Linked DNA regions of Drosophila melanogaster. The protein of the gene in region 1 interacts with the protein of each later gene in a pairwise test. Each region holds a gene or a part of one and is shown in the gene's direction. Other genes may lie near its edges. The genes, in order: CG11200, CG33144, CG8191 and CG7220.

The links.
Region 2: the proteins of CG11200 (region 1) and CG33144 interact in a two-hybrid assay, tested with the Drosophila melanogaster proteins (one large-scale study listed by BioGRID).
Region 3: the proteins of CG11200 (region 1) and CG8191 interact in a two-hybrid assay, tested with the Drosophila melanogaster proteins (one large-scale study listed by BioGRID).
Region 4: the proteins of CG11200 (region 1) and CG7220 interact in a two-hybrid assay, tested with the Drosophila melanogaster proteins (one large-scale study listed by BioGRID).

The regions. Positions count from the first base shown.
Region 1 is NT_033778.4:20,304,016-20,310,272, reverse strand, and holds CG11200 (uncharacterized protein), read left to right. Parts: upstream 1-1,601; 5' UTR 1,602-1,712; intron 1,713-1,773; 5' UTR 1,774-2,126; intron 2,127-3,636; 5' UTR 3,637-3,677; coding exon 3,678-3,858; intron 3,859-3,921; coding exon 3,922-4,029; intron 4,030-4,805; coding exon 4,806-5,187; intron 5,188-5,244; coding exon 5,245-5,641; 3' UTR 5,642-5,756; downstream 5,757-6,257. Other genes in the region: CG13868 (uncharacterized protein), read left to right, coding at 1-23, 90-460, 527-700.
Region 2 is NT_033778.4:10,795,703-10,800,349, reverse strand, and holds the start of CG33144 (uncharacterized protein), read left to right. Parts: upstream 1-1,640; 5' UTR 1,641-2,010; intron 2,011-4,647.
Region 3 is NC_004354.4:15,730,501-15,734,194, forward strand, and holds CG8191 (uncharacterized protein), read left to right. Parts: upstream 1-1,677; 5' UTR 1,678-1,690; coding exon 1,691-2,728; 3' UTR 2,729-2,741; coding exon of another isoform or gene 2,742-3,053; 3' UTR 3,054-3,163; downstream 3,164-3,694. Other genes in the region: HUWE1 (HECT, UBA and WWE domain containing E3 ubiquitin protein ligase 1), read left to right, coding at 37-202, 277-467, 545-647; CG12379 (uncharacterized protein), read right to left, coding at 2,742-3,053, 3,211-3,423.
Region 4 is NT_033778.4:10,731,119-10,737,951, forward strand, and holds CG7220 (uncharacterized protein), read left to right. Parts: upstream 1-1,580; 5' UTR 1,581-1,678; intron 1,679-4,262; exon of another isoform or gene 4,263-4,701; 5' UTR 4,702-4,805; coding exon 4,806-4,937; intron 4,938-5,538; coding exon 5,539-5,630; intron 5,631-5,774; coding exon 5,775-5,877; intron 5,878-5,941; coding exon 5,942-6,173; intron 6,174-6,238; coding exon 6,239-6,252; 3' UTR 6,253-6,307; downstream 6,308-6,833.

The DNA.
Region 1 (6,257 bases):
GGATCAGAGCTATCCGCACACTGGTGAGTTGTAATCTCCGCTTAGCCTATTGTAATACATATATACTGATGGATGCAATATGTTTCTAGGCTGGTTCACCCAATCCAAGGAGCCGCATCTGCAGCGTGATTATTGCTATGCCTACAGTCAGCAGAATGGGAAATTCGTGGAGTGGAAGGAGCGCGAGATCCGTGGCGAGGATACCAGCTACAAGACATCGCTGATCTACGTGGCCCAAGAGTACATCACGGCCATCGACGTGACCGTGCGCCGCAATCTGGTGTACAACTTCCGATCGCTACTCTCCCGCGATGCCAAGGGTCAGGTCTATGCGGGCATCTACTTCCCGCTGGTGGCCAATGGGCAGGAGGCCTACCTCACCATCTTCTACGACGGACCCAATGAGCAGCGAGTGCGGACGAAGCTGATGTTCAGCGCGTTTAAAGTGGGCAAGGGAAAGGTAAGGATCACTGATAGCTATAGCCAATGGTTACCCATTACTAACCCAGTTATTATCACCCATCAGCTGCCGGACTATGTGGGTCAACATCTTAGCAGGCTGGCGCCGCAATTGAAGATACCGCTGCCGGAATTGACCGAACTGTGCAAATCCCTGGCCGAGGTGGTCACCGACCAGAGCTTCATCAGCCAGGTGCTGGCCATAAACGATGACATCGGCAACATGTCCGTGGAGAATTGACAGTTAAAGGAGCCTAAGGATGTCGCTGCTACGGAAACGGAAACGAAGATGGAGGAACAGGCGATAAAAGACATTGACAACGCAGCTGCAACTTAGAGTTCCGAACCTATTTGAATACTTTGAATACTTTGTCCTTTCCACAGTAATATTCTTTTTAGTAGCATATAGGCACCTCTTACACCAGCACACACGATTCAAGTATATATTCAATTTAGTCTAGTATATATTTCAAAATATTTATTCACCTATAAACACGACAACACGCTCTATATGGTAATCCCAACTGAATTATTTAATCGAAAGCGAAACGAAATTTTATTCAAAATATTTAAAAGAAATGCGCAAAGTTTAGACTTCAATGTTTCGCTTAGGTTCTTCTAATTTCAAACTATATATATACTTATGCGCAACTATATAATGGCAAAATTAGTTATAACTGGTATCAAGGCAAAACATAAATTGTAATTGTTGTACGAACATATTTCCGTTTAAACACTTAAATGCACTGTACTATTTCGGTTCAATAAATAAATCAGCTAGCAAAAGAAAGAAGGTATTTTGTTGGGAGACTTAAAACATAATTTTACTTGAACTTTAACTAACATGAAAAGATTAAAGGTGTATTATTGCCTTAAATTTGAATTTCGATATTTTTATGGCAGTGATATCGATTAGTTTGGTAACAGTAGCTTAACATAGAATAGACATGTTACTGTTAATAAGCTTAGCTCAACATTTAGGTATTTTTTGCACACGCAAACTCTGTTTCTCTGTAATAAAAACATTTGTTTAAAAACCTCAGGTTTCTTATGATTTACAAATGAATAAGGACAAAATAAAGAAAAATGCATACTGACGGCAGATATCGATGATTACATCAACAATCGATATTTTGAAACAGAGAAAGTGCAGCCCTGGTGCCATCGATGTATATCCACCTTGGATTTTCGCTTGTCTGCAGTTATTTCAATTAAGTTGTTTCAAATCAGCGTTTTTGTGAGTGCACACTAAGGTAACAACACGCCGACCGACCCGCTTAACCATTGCATAACCACGTAATTGTACAATATCAGCTGTTTTTCTGCGTGATCAGCCGGCAAGTGGGTAAAATTCACCTGTTGACCAGCGGCAATAAGCCAAAACAAAACAACAACAATCGTGGATCAAGTTCTTGGCGGAAAGGCGCGCAATTAAAACCTAACGTTCAGTTCGCTTTTGAATTTCTCGCCGAGCGGTTGTGGCGAAAATAAGGGCCCGCTGGAAAAACCGGTTTTCAAACACCAGCGATTGATCCTCTTCGAAAACGTGAAAGAAAACAAAAAGACGAGGAAGCGCCGCCGCAGCCTTTAATTGAAAAAAAGGGTGTCAATATTAGCATAGAAATCGAGGCACAGGTGCATTTTCGTCTGCGTCAGCCAAATTGAAGGTAAAATTGAAAAGCCCTCTGCAAGGGCAACAACAATAGAAAAAGAAAGTTAACCATATGCAGCCAAATTAAAAACGACCGCGGCAACAACAGTAAAACTGCTAAGCTTTTGCGTTTTGTTGACGGAAGTCGAAACTCTTGACAGCACGTTCGTGGTGTCATGCGTACACACAGAAAAAATGGAATTACTTTATGTGAAAAATGAAAAATTCATACAAAACCTATTTCTAATTTGTAGTGAAGTTCTTATCTTTTAAGTGCAATCTATTATAAAAGATAAAGCAATTAAGAGAATTTCAAACAACCTTCACTCAAGAAAAATAATTCTATTTCCTTAACTTTCTTAAAATGGAAAACCATTCTGCGCAGTACAATTTGTAAATATTTTTATATTTTACACCAATACTAAAGAGTTTTTCGCAGTGTACTATGCTAGGTCGTCCGTACAGATATTTCCCCGCTGCCCCCGCAAGAAGAGCCCAAAGAAACCGACCCTAGTTGTTGCTGTTTAGCGCCTCAGTCATTTTCAGCTCTGGCCCCAAATTCACTATTTTGGCCCCGTTTATTGGCTTTGGCTCGAAGCTCGGCTCTTCAACTTTCATTCCGCCGCTGTTTGGGTTTTTAATTAGCATTTTACGAGCACACCTAAGCCAGTTCTCTCGCTGTCTCCCAATAAACGCGCTCAACTATCTTCTGTCTAATTAATTTAATTGTTTCCCCGCCCGATTAAAAATTAAGATTCCAGTGCAGCGCTCAAAGTGCAGGTGGCAAATATGCACTGCAAATATCGGTGGCCAAACAATCGCGTTAGCTTTATAAGCCCGGCTAACCAACGCTGGAAATTGCTGGGCAAATAAGAAAAAACTGAGGGAAAGAGGCAACAACTCAAGCTATTCGACGGCCAATGGGGTCAAGTCGATTTCAGAACACGCTCTCTGATAAATATCATTAAAAAGTTTATTAATTATTAGACTTCTATCCCCAAAAATGGGGTTTCCTGGTGAAAATTCTGAGATTTCAAACATCATTCTTGTTACTCTGTCGAATTAGGATTAGTGCGTTAAAACAGCACTTTTGTAAAAGCCTTTTTAATTGATAGCAAAGATCATTCTACAAAAAGTTCGAGCTTTATAATTAAACCACATTTTTAAGTGATTAGTTACTCTCTACTGTTACGCCAACTTGATAGTATAAAGGCATGATAATTGTAGAAGCTCGACTATTCGCAGCTGAATCGTGACACGAATCAATCTCTGGCAAGTATATATGGCCAACACACCTAGAATTCCAAACGAATATGGCCAACAGATGTACCCGCTGGCACTCGGATCGCGAAATCTTGCTGACTCAGTTGAAGAGTTTCGCAAAGTGCACTCGAGGCGAATTTACCCGCCAATATTGATAATGTTGCCGGCTAATGGCTAATGTCTGTGACGAACCAGGATCGGTTTTCGTTATCAGCCGGCGCACTTTGCCCGATTTCTTATCAAAACCCGTATTCCCTTTGCAGAGTTCCGGAGAGACGGCGATCCGATCCGATAAGAGCGTATAATGTTGGGAACTTTGCTGTGGATTTTCTTCGTCGGCCTGCTGCTGTGTGCGTTCCTCTTTTCGAAGACCACCAAGGAGTTCCCGAAGTCCTGGTTCGAGTGGAAGACTGAGTTTCGGTATCAGTACCTGGGAATCGTTGGGCTCGTCCACGATGCCCAGTATAAGGCACGGGATCGAGTGGGTAAGTCAATTTGCTAGCCGATGCTTATTCCACGATCACTAATTGTTGCCATTATCCATTAAGCACTTTATAAACAACCGGACCGCATTGCTGTCATCACCGGAGGCAATCGCGGCATCGGACTGCGGATCGTGGAGAAGCTGCTGGCCTGCGACATGACTGTCGTCATGGGTGAGTTGACCAATCTCCGCCCAACAACTTGTTTCAGGCCTATTCCTATCCATAAGTCGGCGATCTGCTTATGAATTCCACAAACATTTAACCGTGCTGCAAGTGCACGTGCTCGGCAAGCTAAAATCGAACATCGAATAAACGATCGTCGAAATGCAGATCCATTCCCACCCTTGTCAATGCGATACAGAAATCATGACCCATTCTCCTGATTTCATTATCTAACCAAGTCGCGTAAAAGTCTCGATTTTCGGGAAAGACAAGCGATAAGAGTTCATTGACTGGTCGGAGAAAAGAATTCTAAATTTCAATGAAAAGGGTCACAGTTATCAATAATTATTTTGTATTTTCTCGTTAACATTTTTGAAAATGGCATTTTTTGTTGCTTTTCCAATTTCTTGCTTTAATACGTTTACTTACAATTTCACTGCATATTTTAGTCTCTAAGAAAATTCATTTATTAAGAAATCATTTTTTTTTTTAAATATATTTAATTTTATTGTTAGTGCTAGTTAAAATAATAAACATTTTAATCATTTAACAGTCAACTGTTATTTTCTACATTGAACTTATGTAAAATGTATAGATGTAAAAACCAGAGCTTGAAGTGCGCTATACAGGCGCTAGGTGTCGCTTATATTGCTTATATTTTGTGTAAAATAGGGTAGATTAGAAAACACTCATAAAAAAGTGTTTTAAAGGATATTTATTAATTAAGTTCTGTCCTCTCAGCAATTTTTGTCAGTGGCTCACTTTAATTTATGCATTTATTGCAGGCGTTCGTGATCCCAAAATTGCCGAAACCGCAGTTGCATCGATAGTCGACTTGAATGCTACCAAGGGCAAGCTCATCTGCGAGCAACTGGATGTTGGGGATCTGAAATCCGTAAAGGCATTTGCTCAGCTCATCAAGGAGCGGTATTCAAAAGTGGATTTGTTGCTGAACAATGCTGGCATCATGTTTGCGCCCTTCAAACTAACCGCCGATGGCTACGAGTCGCACTTTGCCATCAACTTCCTGGGACACTTTCTGCTCACCCACCTGCTTCTGCCTCAATTGAGGGCGGCAGGCAAGGAGGGAAGGAACTCCAGGATCGTGAACGTCAGCTCCTGCGTGAATCTCATTGGACGCATCAACTATAAGGACATTAACGGAACGTACGTTTGAGTAATTGTCGCCTAAGTTCCTTATTTACTAGGTTTTACTGCTTGCAGAAAACACTATTACCCGGGAACCGCCTACAGTCAGTCAAAGCTTGCTCAGATCTTGTTCACCCGCCATCTGCAGACACTGCTGGATGCAGAAAAGTCGCACGTGCAGGTCAATGTGGTGCATCCGGGCATTGTGGACACGGATCTGTTCGAGCACTCGGCCACCACATCGGTGCCCATTTTCAAGAAGCTATTCTTCAAGACTCCGGAAAGGGGATCCCGCACGGTGGTCTTCGCGGCCATTGATCCCTCCATCGAGGGTCAGGGTGGTACTTACCTCTCCAACGGCGGAAAGGGTCCTTTCCATCCGGATGCCAAGAAGCCGGCAAAGTGCGAGCAGCTTTTCCAGTTCTCCTGCGACCTGTTGAAAATCCAGCAGTACGGAAATGGCGAATACTAAATGAACTCCACACTCAGTCTATCTCACATTCCTCCTACTGGTGCAACGTACTTTTCTAGATACCGTCAGCTTTTTTGTAAATCGATTTCTTTTGTATAAAAACATTTTTATATAGAACTGCAGCTGGTGTTTTGTGTTCAGGATCTGCTGATGCTAATCTGGTCAAATTGCTGTGCTAGGTTTTAATTAACTTGTCTGCGCTTGATTGCCATCGTGGGGCTAGGGAATGCAATTAAAAGAGCTGCAAGAAACATTTATTTGAAAATGCACTCAGCAGTTGGCGGCGGCAGCTTGAAAGGTGACAACAACAACAACAACCACGTCATATCTGCTGTATGTCAAATTTTCGAAAAAGCAAACAATTTAATTTTGTGCGCCTCCTCAAACAATGAGCGATTAACATTCAACATTTTGGAGGAATTTTAATCGACTTCAGTTAAGGGGACAGGAGTATGGGGGTTCCAGGAGAGCGGTACGGAGACGGAGGAACTCAGGTAGGTAGGTGTATCATCTCGAAAAACAACTGCGAAGCAACTACAACTCGACTGTCACTTAAGCGAACTGAACGCTTAAAAGCGAACGACATGATGGCTGCAAAAAAAAAAACAATCTCATA
Region 2 (4,647 bases), 9.5 Mb from region 1:
CTATTATGAAACAGTTGATTTATTTTATTTAAAGCCGATGAACGGAATTAGTTTTAGTAAAAGTTCATCATCCTTGAGTAGTTTGTTGAACTAATGAATTCGCAGACTAATTTGGATGGATATCGATTAATGTAAATTCGTCTACAATAAGTAGTAACAATTATAATACGGTACAAAAACAATTATAACCACAGAATCTATTTCCTATCTAATTAACAAGTTAATTGACGAAGCACCTGATGTTTGATATTGGCAAATATTGAGCATATAGTCACTAATTGGTGATCAAGTGAAATGGGCCTGAGGTATAAGTCGTGCACATAAAATATAGATAAACTCCCATTTAGGTGAGTGTGCCAACCAATTTGGAGGTCACAACAACGACCGTCCTAATGCTCGATGATGAGGTACAGTCGAGCCTGTGTATGTCAAACTTAAGCCGTATATGAAAATAGGATTTATGTGTTATTATAAACGAGTCTTCATAAGCCAGTCCATATCGAAGAGTTCAATATTGATGAAAGCCCAATGTCAATTTATAGAAGCTCCACTGTAGCTGCTGTGGGCACTGAGGAAGGGGAACTGACAGTGGGGCAGATGGCGGCCTGTAATATACTCCTGCCTCCATATCCTTGTGCCGCGTGCACTTGACATTGGCTTTCGAATCGGGTCTGTCGCGGCATTCATGCGCGGCGCACTGGCAGGGGGTTGGGGGTTCCGGGGGCGGAAGGTGCAGCTTTGCCCTGGTAATGGCATAATCGACCCCCTTTCTGGCCCCTTTTCGTTGCGGGGGCTGGCCACGTGCCGTTCTCATTCGGCCGTTTCTGGTTTTCCTGTTTTTCCTGCTGCTGCTGCACTTGCAACAGCAGCCAAAAAACCTTGACATTAAGCAGCGTCGTCGACGAGGCACAAAATCCTGCAATTGTGTGGAAATCGTCCTGCAAAAAAGGCGCTGTACTTGAGCTGTCCAAGCCACATATTTGTGCTTCGAAAAAACCGGGTTCCTTTAAATTGACATTATTACCAATTTTTGATTATTTTCACAGGCATAAAGCCAATATTAAAAATAAAAATCATTGCAATAACCCACTTCTAAACTTCAATACCAATATAGTTGGCTAGAAGAAATTACCTGTCTATATTATTACACATATTGATATATGTATATTTCAGATATATTTCTGATGAATACGACCATCTTAGACAATAGCAATTCGTTAAATATTTGATATCTATATCTTGTTCCTATGACAACTCAGATTAATTACTGGACGTATACGTTCATACTTATGCATATGTAAAGTTCGCAATAATCAATCAAAATGTGCTCCTAAATCGTTTGTGCGCCATCAATTAGTCGGCAGTTATTTTCGGTGACCCCGACATACGAGTGAGTGTAATTGAAATACATGGATGTTCGGTTGCCACAATTGCAATTGAATGCTACAGTTGTTGCTGTTGCCCTGACAAAAGCATAATAACAAAAACACAGATGTTCCGTCAGCAGGTTGCATTTCGAAGAGAGCAGCGGGAGAGGGAAACTCTCTCTTCTCGCGTCGTGCGCAGTGCGCAGGACGTGCAGCACGGCAACACTGGCCATGGAAGTGCGACAAATGTGTGCGGTGGAAGTCCGTTTGTTTATTCGCTTGCGGAACGCGTTTCTCGACGGTTGGTTCGGTCGCAAAGCGGAAGTGCTGGCGCAACGTGCAACATCCGGCGGCAAAGCAGCAAAATGCCAACACAATAAAATCAAAAAGGAACCTGTAAACACACACCTCCAAAGATATATAGTTAAATCATAAAAAAAAATTTACAAAATTATAAATATATAAAAAGTATAGCCGAAATTAGTGTGCGCTTGTTGATCAAATCAAGAATTAAAATAGTATATTGAAAATAATCAAAAATTGTCAAGTGCTTTTCGAAAGTATAAATATCTTAATTAAAACCGTGTTAGACCCCCATTTCGAAATCGATTACAAAGGGTCGAAAAGTTTGTGAAACCGATTCGTAAGTGCCCAAAGAAGTAAAACCCCCTCCGCCAACCTTTCACCTTTCTTTGTGTGCCACATTCTCCTTATGTGTGCCGGTGTGAGTGTTTATGTATGTTAATTAAATTACCGTTATGTGTGCTTACCACAGCAACACACTTACACACAAAAACCAGCTCTATCGCAGTAATTATAAAAAAAACAAAAGAAAAACAAGAATAATACAAAAAACAACAATTACAAAGGCCACTGAAAATCCATTTCCCATTTCCTTGGGCTCCCCCCCCCCGCATTTCCTCTCTACTTTCCCCACTCATCATCGCATGTTTTGCCCGCCCTGACACTTGGGGCATATTTCTGTGTTAACTGGGCTGTGCGTGTGTTTATTACTGCGACTACGGCCATTGGCACGTACATCGGACGGAGTACCCTCAATTCGACGCCCATGTCCTTGCCATGTGCCCTCCTCATACACGCCCCTGCTGGGCACTACTCACAGTTATTAAGCGTCTTATGGCAACTCTCAAAGCGGCCCATAAGTATGCTATAGTTTTTGCTATTCTGCTGAAGAGTTAACTCAGGAATACTTGGAGAAAATTGTAGTACATGAATACATTACATGATAAATATATAAAATAAAATATTTTCATAATCTTTTAAATGGGCAACAACAATAAATTCGCATAAAATAAACCACTATGAATTGTAATGTTCAAAATTTCTGTTGTACTGCAATAAAAAAGAGATTTTAGGTTTTAATGTATGGGCAACTTAATTCGGTACTGGCATTAACCTATCAAAGAGTGTGACGTTTCTCTTCGTGTAGGAGCAGCAGGTGCATTTCACTCAGAATTTCAGGTGATAGCAGTGAGCTTCTGACCAGAAATCAATAGAAAATCAAGCTTTACGCTTATGGATCTAGTTGGGGGTTAGTCAGTCGCCTGCTGCAGCCATATACATACGTCGTTATTGCCCTTTGTTACATTTACCATTTGAGCCACTTTTATGTTCGGCCCTTTGCACATCAAATTGATGATAAATTGCAAATTGCGACCATAAAATCCCCAGAGAGTTATTGAAAAATTTCAGCGAAGAGGTCGTAAGGAACCGATGAAAAGGTATAGCATTTCATATTTATGGTATTTCCTGCCAGCATTTCATTTCAATATTAGGAAAGCAATAGGTATAAAAATGCTCGTGTAGATTAATAAATGTTTTGGAGAAAACCTACCTTGAATGCGAGTACTTTTTTAATTGGCATTAATATTATAAAATACATATTTATTCAAAAGAAATTTATTTTTTCTTTGAGCTAAAGAATCGATCAGTGTGACAACTTATTTTACAAGTTGTTTAAGCTTATTAGTTAAGAAAACCCAATTTTATAGTTTGACAAATGACATTGGCCACCAAATTGCGATTTGCTGTACAGTTTTCCAGCCAGTTTCTTGCACTTTCAAATGTTTGATCTATGCAATCCATCGTTGCAGGGCAAGTTAGACTGAAAGCTTTTTGGAGTCATTATCCCGTATTTCAATTAAGGGCGAAAAAAATTCGCGCTCCACACATAGAACACCAAATTGTACGCTGGCGATGGTCTGGCTCAATTAAACGACAGCGAGTCCTTCGCTGGTCGGAGTTGAGAGGACGAATTCAGAGGATTTCCCGGTATAAGGGATACGGGTGGTGACATCTTCAAATGGCACATGCCCGTATGCAAATTGCGCCATAATCTCCACTGAGCGTTGGGCATTGAGTCGTCGCCTATTGATTATCAGTTTTGCATACTAATATGCCCAAGTTGGCAGTGCATTGAAATCGAGCCAAATAAAGTGACAAGCTCCGTGTCCCACTGTTTGTTTCTGCCCGTCCCTGTCGCTCCTATCGCCTCTTTCGTCCCTTTCGCACGTTTGCCATGGCAGCTGTCAGGGGGGGGGGGGGGTTCCCCTCGCTTGAATGTGTGCGATGTGTCCGGGCTTAAGTAGCTTTATGTGTCTGGATGTGTGAGTTTTGTGTGGTTATAACATTTTTTTTTGTTTTTCGCTTTTCTCGGTTTTCGATTTTCACCACGGTATTTCCACGAAAAGTTGTTTTTCCTTTCGATTCTGCTTTTTTGCTGGCATTTTTTGCTTAACCTTATCGAGTGAACTACAAAAACGAAGAAAAATAGTAACTACAAAATATTTAGATACAGTATAGGTGGTCATTTCTTCATATAGAAAATAGGGCTATTTTACATCTATCTGAACTTGAGTTTAAAGGATATTTTTCGAAAAAAAAAGCTATTTAAAGTTTCTTTCCCCTTACTTAATGTTTGTTGAGAAGTGTCGTCAACGGTGCCATTGTTTTATTATCACTCCGTAGTTCCCTTTTTTTTAGGTGGGTTCTATCACATTACGTATACGCATTTAGTTCCAATTTTTGCCTCTCGTTCCGTGGGCTTCGCTTTATTTTTATCGCCTTGCGTGTGTAAGCGAGTTTTGCTTGTGCCTTAGTGTGTTACTGTGTTTGCATTGCCAGTGGCGGCCTTTTTTTTGCTTCCGCTTTTCCTCGACTGTTTTCCACTTGCTTGTGTATTTCCGCTGTAGTCATAATGGGAAACAGCTGATAGTACACGCCCCCTCACATCGTCCCCTAATCGAGCCCTTTTCTCCAG
Region 3 (3,694 bases), on another chromosome or scaffold:
GCTATGGATTTTAAATCGTGCTACTCCCCACAACAGATTGGACGCATTCCTTGAAGGCTTCTACGACATTATTCCAAAGCATTTAATTTCGATATTCAACGAACAGGAACTGGAACTTCTCATATCCGGCCTGCCGGATATTGACATTGAAGATCTAAAGGCGAACACCGAGTACCACAAGTACACCTCTAAATCGGCGCAGGTGAGACCATGATTGTGCATCTTCCTCCATCCTCCATCCCTCTCTAAACCATGTATTTTTTACCCATTCATTAGATTCAATGGTTCTGGCGTGCACTGCGTAGCTTTGACCAAGCGGACCGCGCCAAGTTCCTGCAATTCGTCACTGGCACATCGAAAGTGCCGCTGCAGGGCTTCGGCTCGCTGGAGGGCATGAACGGGATTCAAAAGTTCCAAATCCATCGGGACGATCGATCCACTGATCGCTTGCCCTGTGCACACACCTGGTGAGTAGGGATCCACAAGTCGCATGAATTGTTTGCAATGTCATAGACCGTATTAACTTACCCATCTCTGATTGCAGCTTCAACCAACTGGATCTGCCCATGTACAAGTCATACGACAAGCTGCGGAGCTGCCTGCTGAAGGCCATACACGAGTGCTCCGAGGGCTTTGGCTTCGCCTAAGGTGCGACAACTGTGACGGCAGCTTCAAGCACCAGCCGGCAGAGCCACCAGTAACCAACAAACCATGGACGCAACACTATTCCTACAACGCCCTCAAATACACGGGTGCAACGATGAGAAATGCATAATTGATTTGAATTGAACAGAACAGAAGAGAACAGAACAGCCACTGCAAATTTGCGATAGCGGCAACAGAAACTGCATACATAAACAGTACATATAGTTATATAGTATATATAAAAATGTTGAATTAATTATTAATTTTCGCGCCTATATATATATACAATATATATTTTCTTAAATTTTCAAAAGAAAACGGAAGAAAACTAAGGAAACCTAACAAAAAAAAATATAAAATATAAAACTGATACAGACGCGAAAAGTATATTCGATTTAAAATTCTCTGCGCAACTCATCTTTTTTTTTATTAATTTTTTGGAATCTATCTCTGTCGTTTTGCACATTTTTATCAAAAGAAAAGGATTTATATAAAGAAAAAAAATACACTGACACATTTTCATTTACCCAAACGCGAAACCGAATAGAAAAGGATTAAACGTAGTTTATAGATCGCAAATGCACATAAACAGATTACACACTTGGGTTACTTGTTTACTTAAGTGAATGTACGTACCGAAGATAAAGGGAAGCAACAGAAAAAATATTTAAATGGATTAAAGTATTTTGATGTAAGAGATAAGTCCTTATGTTAATGCATTTTATGTTTACCTTTGAAATAATGAGACGCAGATGTAACTTAAAGAATGTGGAATAAAGAATAAGCTCATTTATCACAATAAATTTTCAGAAATCACTTCACATGCTCATTATAAATGCGGCTGGAAAGGATGGGTACGCCATATATATAAATAAATACATATATAAGGTCTTAATGTCGATCTCATTTAATTTGGGCGCCTTTCAATTTGAAATTCGATTCTATCGCAACGGGCAACGACAGATCGATATCTCATGCACAGCAAACCGATCGACATTATCGATTGTGACATCGAATTTTCGGACAGCTGACAGCTGCAGTCCGTATGGATTTGTTTATCCGAAAAGAACTGAGCCTATCCACGAGCAGCGTGCTTGAAGATGTGGCGCCGCACTGTCTCAAGCTACTCACATGGCTGCACGATTGTCAGGAGGAGATGCACTCCGAGCACCGCCATCTGCGACTGAGCCAATCCGTTGTGGAATCCCTGCTAAAGGCTCACCTGTACCTGTTCGAGTGCTATGATCGCTTCGGGCAATCGCTGGCCGAACGCTGCGATTGCCGTGGCTTCTTCGCTAGCTGCTCTGCATTGGTGGATCGACGGAAGTGTATTCGTGAGCTGTGTACCACCATCGTGAACACACGAAAGGGAGAAACTCATGCACCACTGCTTCATCTTTCGCATCGAACGTTGGCCGAGATTCAGCCTGCGTGGAGTGAGATCGGTGATTTGGACTGGTCGGCAATACGCCAATCGGATGCGCTTTCTTCCAGCGATTTTATCAATCCCGATCTTCAGCAGATGCGACGGCTAGTCAAGCGGATTGGCCGCTTATCCAGCCTTGAGGACATGCAGACCGCAATAAAGCGCTCCATGGAGCTGATTGAGTACCAGGTGTGGCTGCAGCTTTTTAGGGAGCCAAAGGACAGCGAAATTCACAAGGATTGCTACCTAATGCGCCACATGATCTGTGACACTTTATCGGAGGGCGGATCTACCGCTTGCACCGGCTTCCTGCACAATATCTTTCTGTTCGTATCGCAATCCGCCAATGAGATGAGATTCTGGGCCAGTATGGAGCATGTACGTCTGGCCGGCAGCCTTATTGCCTACCTAATCGACCATTGGAATCGCCACCTGCCCTACCTAGACTTGGATGAGATGCAATTGACCGCTGATGCACCAGTCACGGCTGTCTCGCAGCTGCCCGTGAACGAGGCCACATACATAACCTACCTGATGCTGGCCACCGGATCCATATGTCGCCGGCAGTTCGCCCAGCAGCTGCGTGCCCAACTACCCCCCAATTCCTGGACACATTTGCTGGAGCTGCTAAATAAAGTGGCATTCGTTTTCACTTAACTACACTACGAGTTTAATCATGTTTCGGCAAAAACTCGCAGTTGCCATCGGTCAGGCGAACCACCTTCTCGCCCTTCTCGGCCAGGATCTCCTCGATGTTGCGCTTGCCGTCCAGATCTGTGAACCAGTTCAGATTGTCGGCGATCAGGTGGTGATTGGAGCAGCCCTCGCAGGTCACGATAACAACGCCGCGTTGGTATGCCAGCTTCGAAATGGTCTTCATGTTCCGGGTCTGGCACACCTTGCAGGTGTAGATCAGCTGCATCTTGGCCTCCAGTTTCGCCAGAGGAATGCTATTCGTGGCCACCGTCTTGTCCGCATCGTCCTGGGAGCAGAGCAAAATAATTATACTTAACTTTTTTGTTATACATAATTTTAAATATTGCATTCCATTTATAATATTTTAAATTACAAATGTAAATAACATTATTTAATATCAATTGGGTAGTTTATTTGTATTTACAACTGATTTCCAAACATACCACTGGCTTACTGCAGTGTATACTGCGGCAAATGCACGTGTAGTTGTTGCTGCTGCTAAAAACAGCTGTTTGTGTTTTGGTTGCAAAGTGATGCACTTGCAACTGCAATTGTGGACTATTTAAAGCATCAATTTGTGTTCTTCGGGAACTGGTAAGTAGTGCGCCTCTTCTCACACCTGCGCTGATTTTATAAAATTTTTTTAGGGCGGACATATCCTCGATTTTGTTGATATTATTTAACTCAATCGAAAAGTGTGAAATTCATTTAAACTTAGAGATGGCACCTCCTTTCATTTCAAAACTAGTCGCGAGTCACGATTTTAAAAAGTTACTATAGCTGTCACTGGTGCTGATAAAATTTGCTGTAACTCACAGACATTAAAACCAATTGTTAATATAAATTCTACTGTGAAATATTAAGTTAAGTTATTAATGAAGTCCACCTGGACTCTGGGGCTTAAAAATAACTTATTTTTCAAACAGG
Region 4 (6,833 bases), 9.6 Mb from region 1:
AATGTAACAGTGAGTATTCAATACGAGATACAGCTTTTAAAATAGATATAGAATTAAATGTAGCCAAATTTAAATAAAAAAAGCATCTTTGCTTAAAAAACTGGCAAAATACATATATTTCATAGCTTAAAAATAAGCTAATTGTTTGTCCTATTCTTTCTTACGGGTATCTACTGTACATCGAAAATACTGTGTTGAATCAGCTGTTTGTACTAAACACATCTAAAAAAAACACATCCATTCTAGGGACCACAACAACTTTTCTAAACTGTCGTCAGTATAACTTGTCAACCCAAATTGGATTGACAAATTTTTAAAACAATTATTGTACTCCGCTGAAATTAAACTATTTACCGGCGTTCAAAGCGGAAAACTCAAAAATACCTACACGCGGAACAGCTGAGTGCGGTATTTTTTAGTTTCGCTCACAATTTGTACGTGCGATGCACGAATCGTTTTCAACACTGCCCGGAGGGTCACACTATCCACTCAGATATTTATTTTTCTAATAACATTTACTTAAAAGCAGACTTTACGCAGAGCTTTGGCCACGGAGGAAACGGAACAGATAGCCAGCGAGCGGAGCAGCCAGGACTTGGAGCAGGAATCGGCAGGAACACCAGGACGGATTTCCCCAAGACAAGCAGTAGTAGTATGTCTTCGAAGTCGCCAAGCGAGGTGAGTTCCCTTTGAAGTCTTGGGATAATTTCGATATCCGAGGCGTATTCAATATAGTAGAGGGTTTTAACCGCAGCTGGGCAAATGTTAACGATCCGGAAAGGTTTCCCTTCCGCAATCGCGTGTCGGACTGCCATCCCACGAGTAGAAGGTTCAACGTCATCTTATCGTTCTAGAGATTCATAGCTGAGGAGTGACACAGCGCTCTGCAATGATAAGCTTGTCCAGCTTCTTGCTCGATCTACCAGTCCGTCTATCGTTATATAACTTATTGGTTTCTGCAGGCCGAGGTCGTCTGACCCCGGTCGCTAATTGCTGCTAACCCCGCCATAATCGGGCCGCTGTTTGTGCCCACCCACAGGCCACAGACACGGCCCAATGTCATCTGCCTCCCAATGGCCAAATGTTTACATGGCATTCATTGCACTTTCCCTTCGCCTGAATGCTTGTTTATGCCACATAAACAATGCATTTGCATTTTGGCAAAAAACCTTCGATCCTTGCCAGCTCGATGCTCTTTAGGGAGCTGTTAACCTGGCATGGGGAGTTTACTATAGCTCGCTTGAATTTCATTACTTTAAGGGTTTGCCATATGACCATAAAGTTTATAAAACCTGTGTATGTATCAAGTCTTGGCATTGTATCTTTGCTCCTTGGCAATACGTCTTATATTTAAAATTGTATTGTATATTTTACCGGTCGGGATATTTATTGTGTACCTTTTTTAATAAGCATTTTGTACCCGCGCAAATATAATCTGGTTTAATATTGTTCGTTTATGCAGCACCTTTCTCATCAAGCAATGTCTTTTGTATACACATAAGTACAATACATATGTGGCTCACGCGGATCGCTCTCCCGTCTGCCGAAAATAGAAGCTCATCGCCATTGACGCCGCTCGCATTCAGTGCTCGATGCCACGCGAATTCGCACGCGCCGCTCTGCCAGATTCTTCGCGACGCGAAATTCATAAGCCAAAACACTTCGATTCGGATCCAAAGTGCGCAGGTTTAACTTTTGCCAACCATTGATCACCGGTGGCCAAGCGTTTTTCCCAGGGATCCTCTTGTCCGCTCCTCAATTGCGACATCATTGGCACGCGCGAAACATATTAATTGCCCGGCGCTCCCATTTACTCATTAGATCACTATAAATAAACAGCAAGCCATAGCCACCACATTTTAGAACCAGTTTATAGATCGTTTTCAATACCATGAAAAGTGTTTTCAAATTTTGTTATAAATCTGATATCAGCCTGTAGTTGAAAATCAAGAAGTATCAAGCCTTCGAAGTGGCATCATGAAATATGCATGGGCCAATCCGATCACAAAGAATATCAGATTCGCCATAAGGAAGTGTTTTGCCTTGTTAGCACTCCCGCGAGTCAATTAGTGATTTATGGTTGAGTTTAAAAGGCGGTTTCGAATGGCATCCAAAGGGCAGCAGAGCAATTTAGCTGTTTGAAAGTGTCTCCTTGATAAGGTCTTGGCAATAGAGGGATTATTGAAGTCACTGACCTGCCAAACGTGATCGCTGATCGGCAGATTTAATCGCTGTAAAGTGTACCTGCGCAATTTCATTGACGTTGCGATTAATATGTCACTTTCCTCATCAGTTTTCGCATCACCTTCACAGCGAAGAACGCTTTAATCTCAGAAGAGAGACACCTTTGCATTTAAGTCGCTTACATTTCATTTTATTTTAATTTAATTACTGCGATTCCGTTGTCTTTTCCTCACAGCAACAAGTTTCGCACATTGTAATTACACACGCCTTTCACGTGTCTGCGACAACAACACGTCCTCGTTCTGATGGCTTACGTTTCCTAGATTTCCCTACGGCTATATACAATACTTCCATGTCAGCGGCAATCGGCCAAAGGAGATGCTCTAGATGCGCTATGGAACTTGTTGCTCATCCGCCGCGAACGTGACACATGTCGATTGCCGCTCTCTTCAAGCTGATGATAAAGCCGAAACTGGCGCATCAGGTTTTCGTTATTTTATAAAACGCCACTCAGCACGATCTCTGACGTCAGAATGTACGATGATGACGTACCCGATGATTTATCGACCGGTGGCGAAGGGGGCAGGTGGCTTCTTGCCAAGTTTAAGGTTGCAGCGAGTTTATTATACACACTTATGGCCCATCCCTCGGTTCTTCCGCTTTCACCTTTACCGTAATGCGCTTAGCATTTCTCCGGTTCAGGAAATCGCTTTATATGGTTTTCAGACCGGGCCTCTGGGCCTCCCACTTGCATAATTTGGCCAGAGTGTAGTGGCTTGGGTTTGTTTATTTTAGCCTGGCGTGTGATTCACAGCCCAAGGTTGGCCAGCAAATGCGATTTCCAAAACATTTTTCGTGGCGTGATTCATTTCAAATGATTTCCCCATCATGCAGAGCCACCCACAATCCAAATCTTATGTGTTTATGTCTACGCTAATCGTCCTTCACCCTCTGGCTTACCTCCAAAATACTGCGGCTATCAGCTGCCAAAATGTTTATCAGCCACAAAGATTTTGGTGGTGGCACGCTTTATTCCTCGGCCATTGTGCTTAGCCGAAAAATATTCTAGGAAAAAGCGAAATAAATAAAAAACAGACGCGTCCCCCCTTTCCAGCGCCACCAAAGTCTGGCAGTCGCTGGTTTATTTGTTTACACTCTGCTTGGCTTTTATTGCCGAAGAATTTTTCGAGTCCATTGTTTGGTTGTTTTGGCTGTTTTCATAAAATTTCCCAGGCAGCGCTCTTCTAGACGTTGGCATTCAACTGCAGTTTTATTTATTTATTTCTGGCTGATTCAAGCAGCTTTTGTTTTGCTCTCTAAGTTTGATTGAGTCTAAAATAAACGCAAGTAGCCCCCGCTGAGTGTGGCGCGTGTTTATTGGTCTGGCCTACTTCAGCGCTGATTTTTTCGCGTTTGGCGGCCCATTTGGGTCCATCATACTATATACTATACTATAGTACACTATGGTTGCGGAACTTATTTAATGGGTCCACTTAAATTGGCCTCGCTAAGTGGTTGTCGATCTGTCGCTTCATTTAGAACCAGTTCTCTGTAAACCAGTGTCCGACTTATATAATCGATCATCTTCTAGGGCCCTGCTTGATTGCTTTTAATCATGAGCAGACGCTCGTCTTCATTTCAGTTTAAAAGCCGAAGATTTCATTGTGCCATCAATTGAAATGTATGCCCCATTGACGTATGCAACCGTCTTGAACACTTGTGTTCCTTTTGTTCGAGTATGTGCAGTGAGCAAAATGAGTTCGCAATTTACTGGGAAAATGCTTCTTTATGAACTTCAGTAAGTGCTGTTTACCAGTTGAACTTCCGTAATATTAAAATTGTTGATTATATATAAATATATTTTTGGTACCTCAATGCGTAGAGCTTTTCCCACACTGTATTAACATATACGTAGGATGTGCTTATCGCCACTTCCGTCGCTGTAATCTAATCGTGTGCTTATCAGGTAATGGCTGCGTGCCAGGGCAGTGGTCCGATAAGCGTTTCTGCCAATACCTTTGGTGGAGCGAGGGGCTGTGAGAGCCACCATTTCGTGATCCGGGGACACAATCGCGACTTAAGTTTAGGACCAAACCAGCTGGACGGGCAACTTGTTCAGGTTAACGAACTAGTTTGGGCCGTTTCTCGCTGCACTTGCGAATTCTCATTTTTGATAGTGCACAACCAACGTAGATATGTATACACAGATCGGGTGAGAGCGGGGGGTGGTGCGATTGGAGAGGTGCCGAAAGCGGCGACGACTTCTACTACTTGTGCCCGACAGTACGTACACAGAGACACGTCGCTACATCGGGCTTCGTCACTCGACTCGCCCTGCAGTCTCTCCCACAATTTTCTGGGCGCTTTCCTGCAGTCGTCCCACGAACGTTGCCGCAATTGGTCTACACGAATCGGTTCGCTAATAAAATGACTGCCATGCCCCACGCCCACTCTCGCCTCCTAGGAAAAACGCTGGCATATTGAACTGTGCGACTAACTAACTTAAATACTTAAAAGCAAGCCCAGCAAGCCGAGAGCAATCTGCCTAAAAGTGACAAGTTATAGGTGACACAACAAAAGCTAAAATTTGTGAGAAACTGTGTGAAAACTAGAACTACAAAATGATGAAGCTGTTTAAAAAACCCAAAGACAAAATACCCAAATCGGAGATTTTAACCGAGCCCAAGGAGCCCAAAACACCGCCGGTCTCCAAGTGCGGAAAACCTTTGCAGTTGGACAACTCGCGATGGGAGGCAAGTATATTCGAGATATTAAACCTGAACTTTGGCCAGATATCGCGTTCGAACAACTGGTCGTTAATATACATATAGTGTTCCATTGCATCATGAGTATGTAGTATTTTGAGTTTCAAGAAATCTGCGTGAATCTTCTGTTGATTCTCTTCAAGGCTGTACCAAGATTTGTTTTTATTATTCTTGGCATTGCCAAATCCAAACCTTATCGATCAAACCCATTTATCCGCAGCTCATTTGTGGGGGCAGCGGTGCGATACTTGTTTATGGTACAGAAAACGGGCCTGCAAGTGCCAATCACTCGATAAGAAGGGGGATCCGAAAGACGGAAAAACAATCGTCGGTTCTATAAATTTCAGTGACATTTGTTTTTATCTTATCGAGCATTTCGTTTATTTATACGCGCGTAGGCATATAGCGTATATTGGCGTTTGTAAGCCAAAGGAGAAATGGCGCACCGATAAGGCGAGCGGAAAAAATAAGTCTTGAGAACTCTTAAGTAGAATGTCCCAGCTGTAGGTGTGTTTCGCGATAAGATATACGGCGAACTGTCCGAGTCATTAACTAATATAAGTCTTAAATTTTATTTTCTGCCCCACAGCGCCGCCTACACAAAGAGCTGATGTCCCTGATCAAGGAGCCGCCACCAGGCGTAACCATCGACACCGAGAGCGTACAACAAAATTTATCCGAGTAAGTATGGACTTCGAGGCGGAGTAGGCCAAGTTCAGCGACAACTGAAACTGGTTTAAATCAATTCGCAATTCAGCAATTCGCACTGAAAACAAAGCCCGCAGTTGTTGGAAGCTGACACTAATATCGCTGTTTTGTTTACAGATGGAAAATAAACATTAAAGGTTTCGAGGGCACACTTTACGAGGGCGAGGACTTCCAGCTACTTTTCAAATTCAACAATAAATATCCGTTCGATTCGCCAGAGGTAATAATTCAGTTGAACAAAGCGAAGCTGTATGGAATCTTAACCATGTTCTCTTAATTTCCAGGTGACCTTCATCGGCACCAATATACCGGTGCATCCGCATGTCTACAGCAACGGACACATCTGCCTATCCATTCTGACCGAGGACTGGTCCCCGGCGCTGTCCGTGCAGTCCGTGTGCCTTAGCATAGCCTCCATGTTGAGTAGTTGTCGCGAAAAGAAGCGTCCGCCGGACAACACGATATACGTAAAAACCTGTAATAAGAATCCTAAAAAGACTAAATGGTGGTACCACGGTACGTATGCGTGATTTTCCAACTAAAGCCCACTGACTCTAAACTTGACTAATTGTTTATTTCAGATGATTCTGTTTAGTTAAAATTGCCATTTACTAATACTGCCTGCTATTGTTTGCTTTGCGCATCCAACCAAAAAAAAAAAAAAAAAAAAAAACACCATTAGCAATACAGAAGTAGAACACGGCGAGATGCCCCCAGAAATCCAAGAAATGTGGGACGGCGGTCAAGCACTGCTCGTGAGTGGAGCATACTAAAACCCAAGTGCACTCGGATGCGAACGTAATGTGCAACAAAGTAAATGAAGTTAGCGAGAAACTTATGGGTAGTGTTTGGCAAACAATCGTGGCGCATGCAAACAATTCTAATTGTAGCTATGTGTAATCAACAAAAGGCGTGTGCGAAAAACTATTATTAAATGTTAACATTTTAATTAGATTGTTAAGACCAAATTTATGTCTAAATTAAATGTTATCCTACCATTTAACCACTAAGCGTATGCAAACCACTTGAACGTTTGATAGTTCTGGCACCTCGCGCCAGTTGCTGCTTCCACATTCCACATGCATCGTTCGCGGCATTTTCTGCCCGAGTAGCGTGACCCAGCACACACACACATCGCCTCCATCCCAGCTTATATTAATTTTGTGTATTTTATCA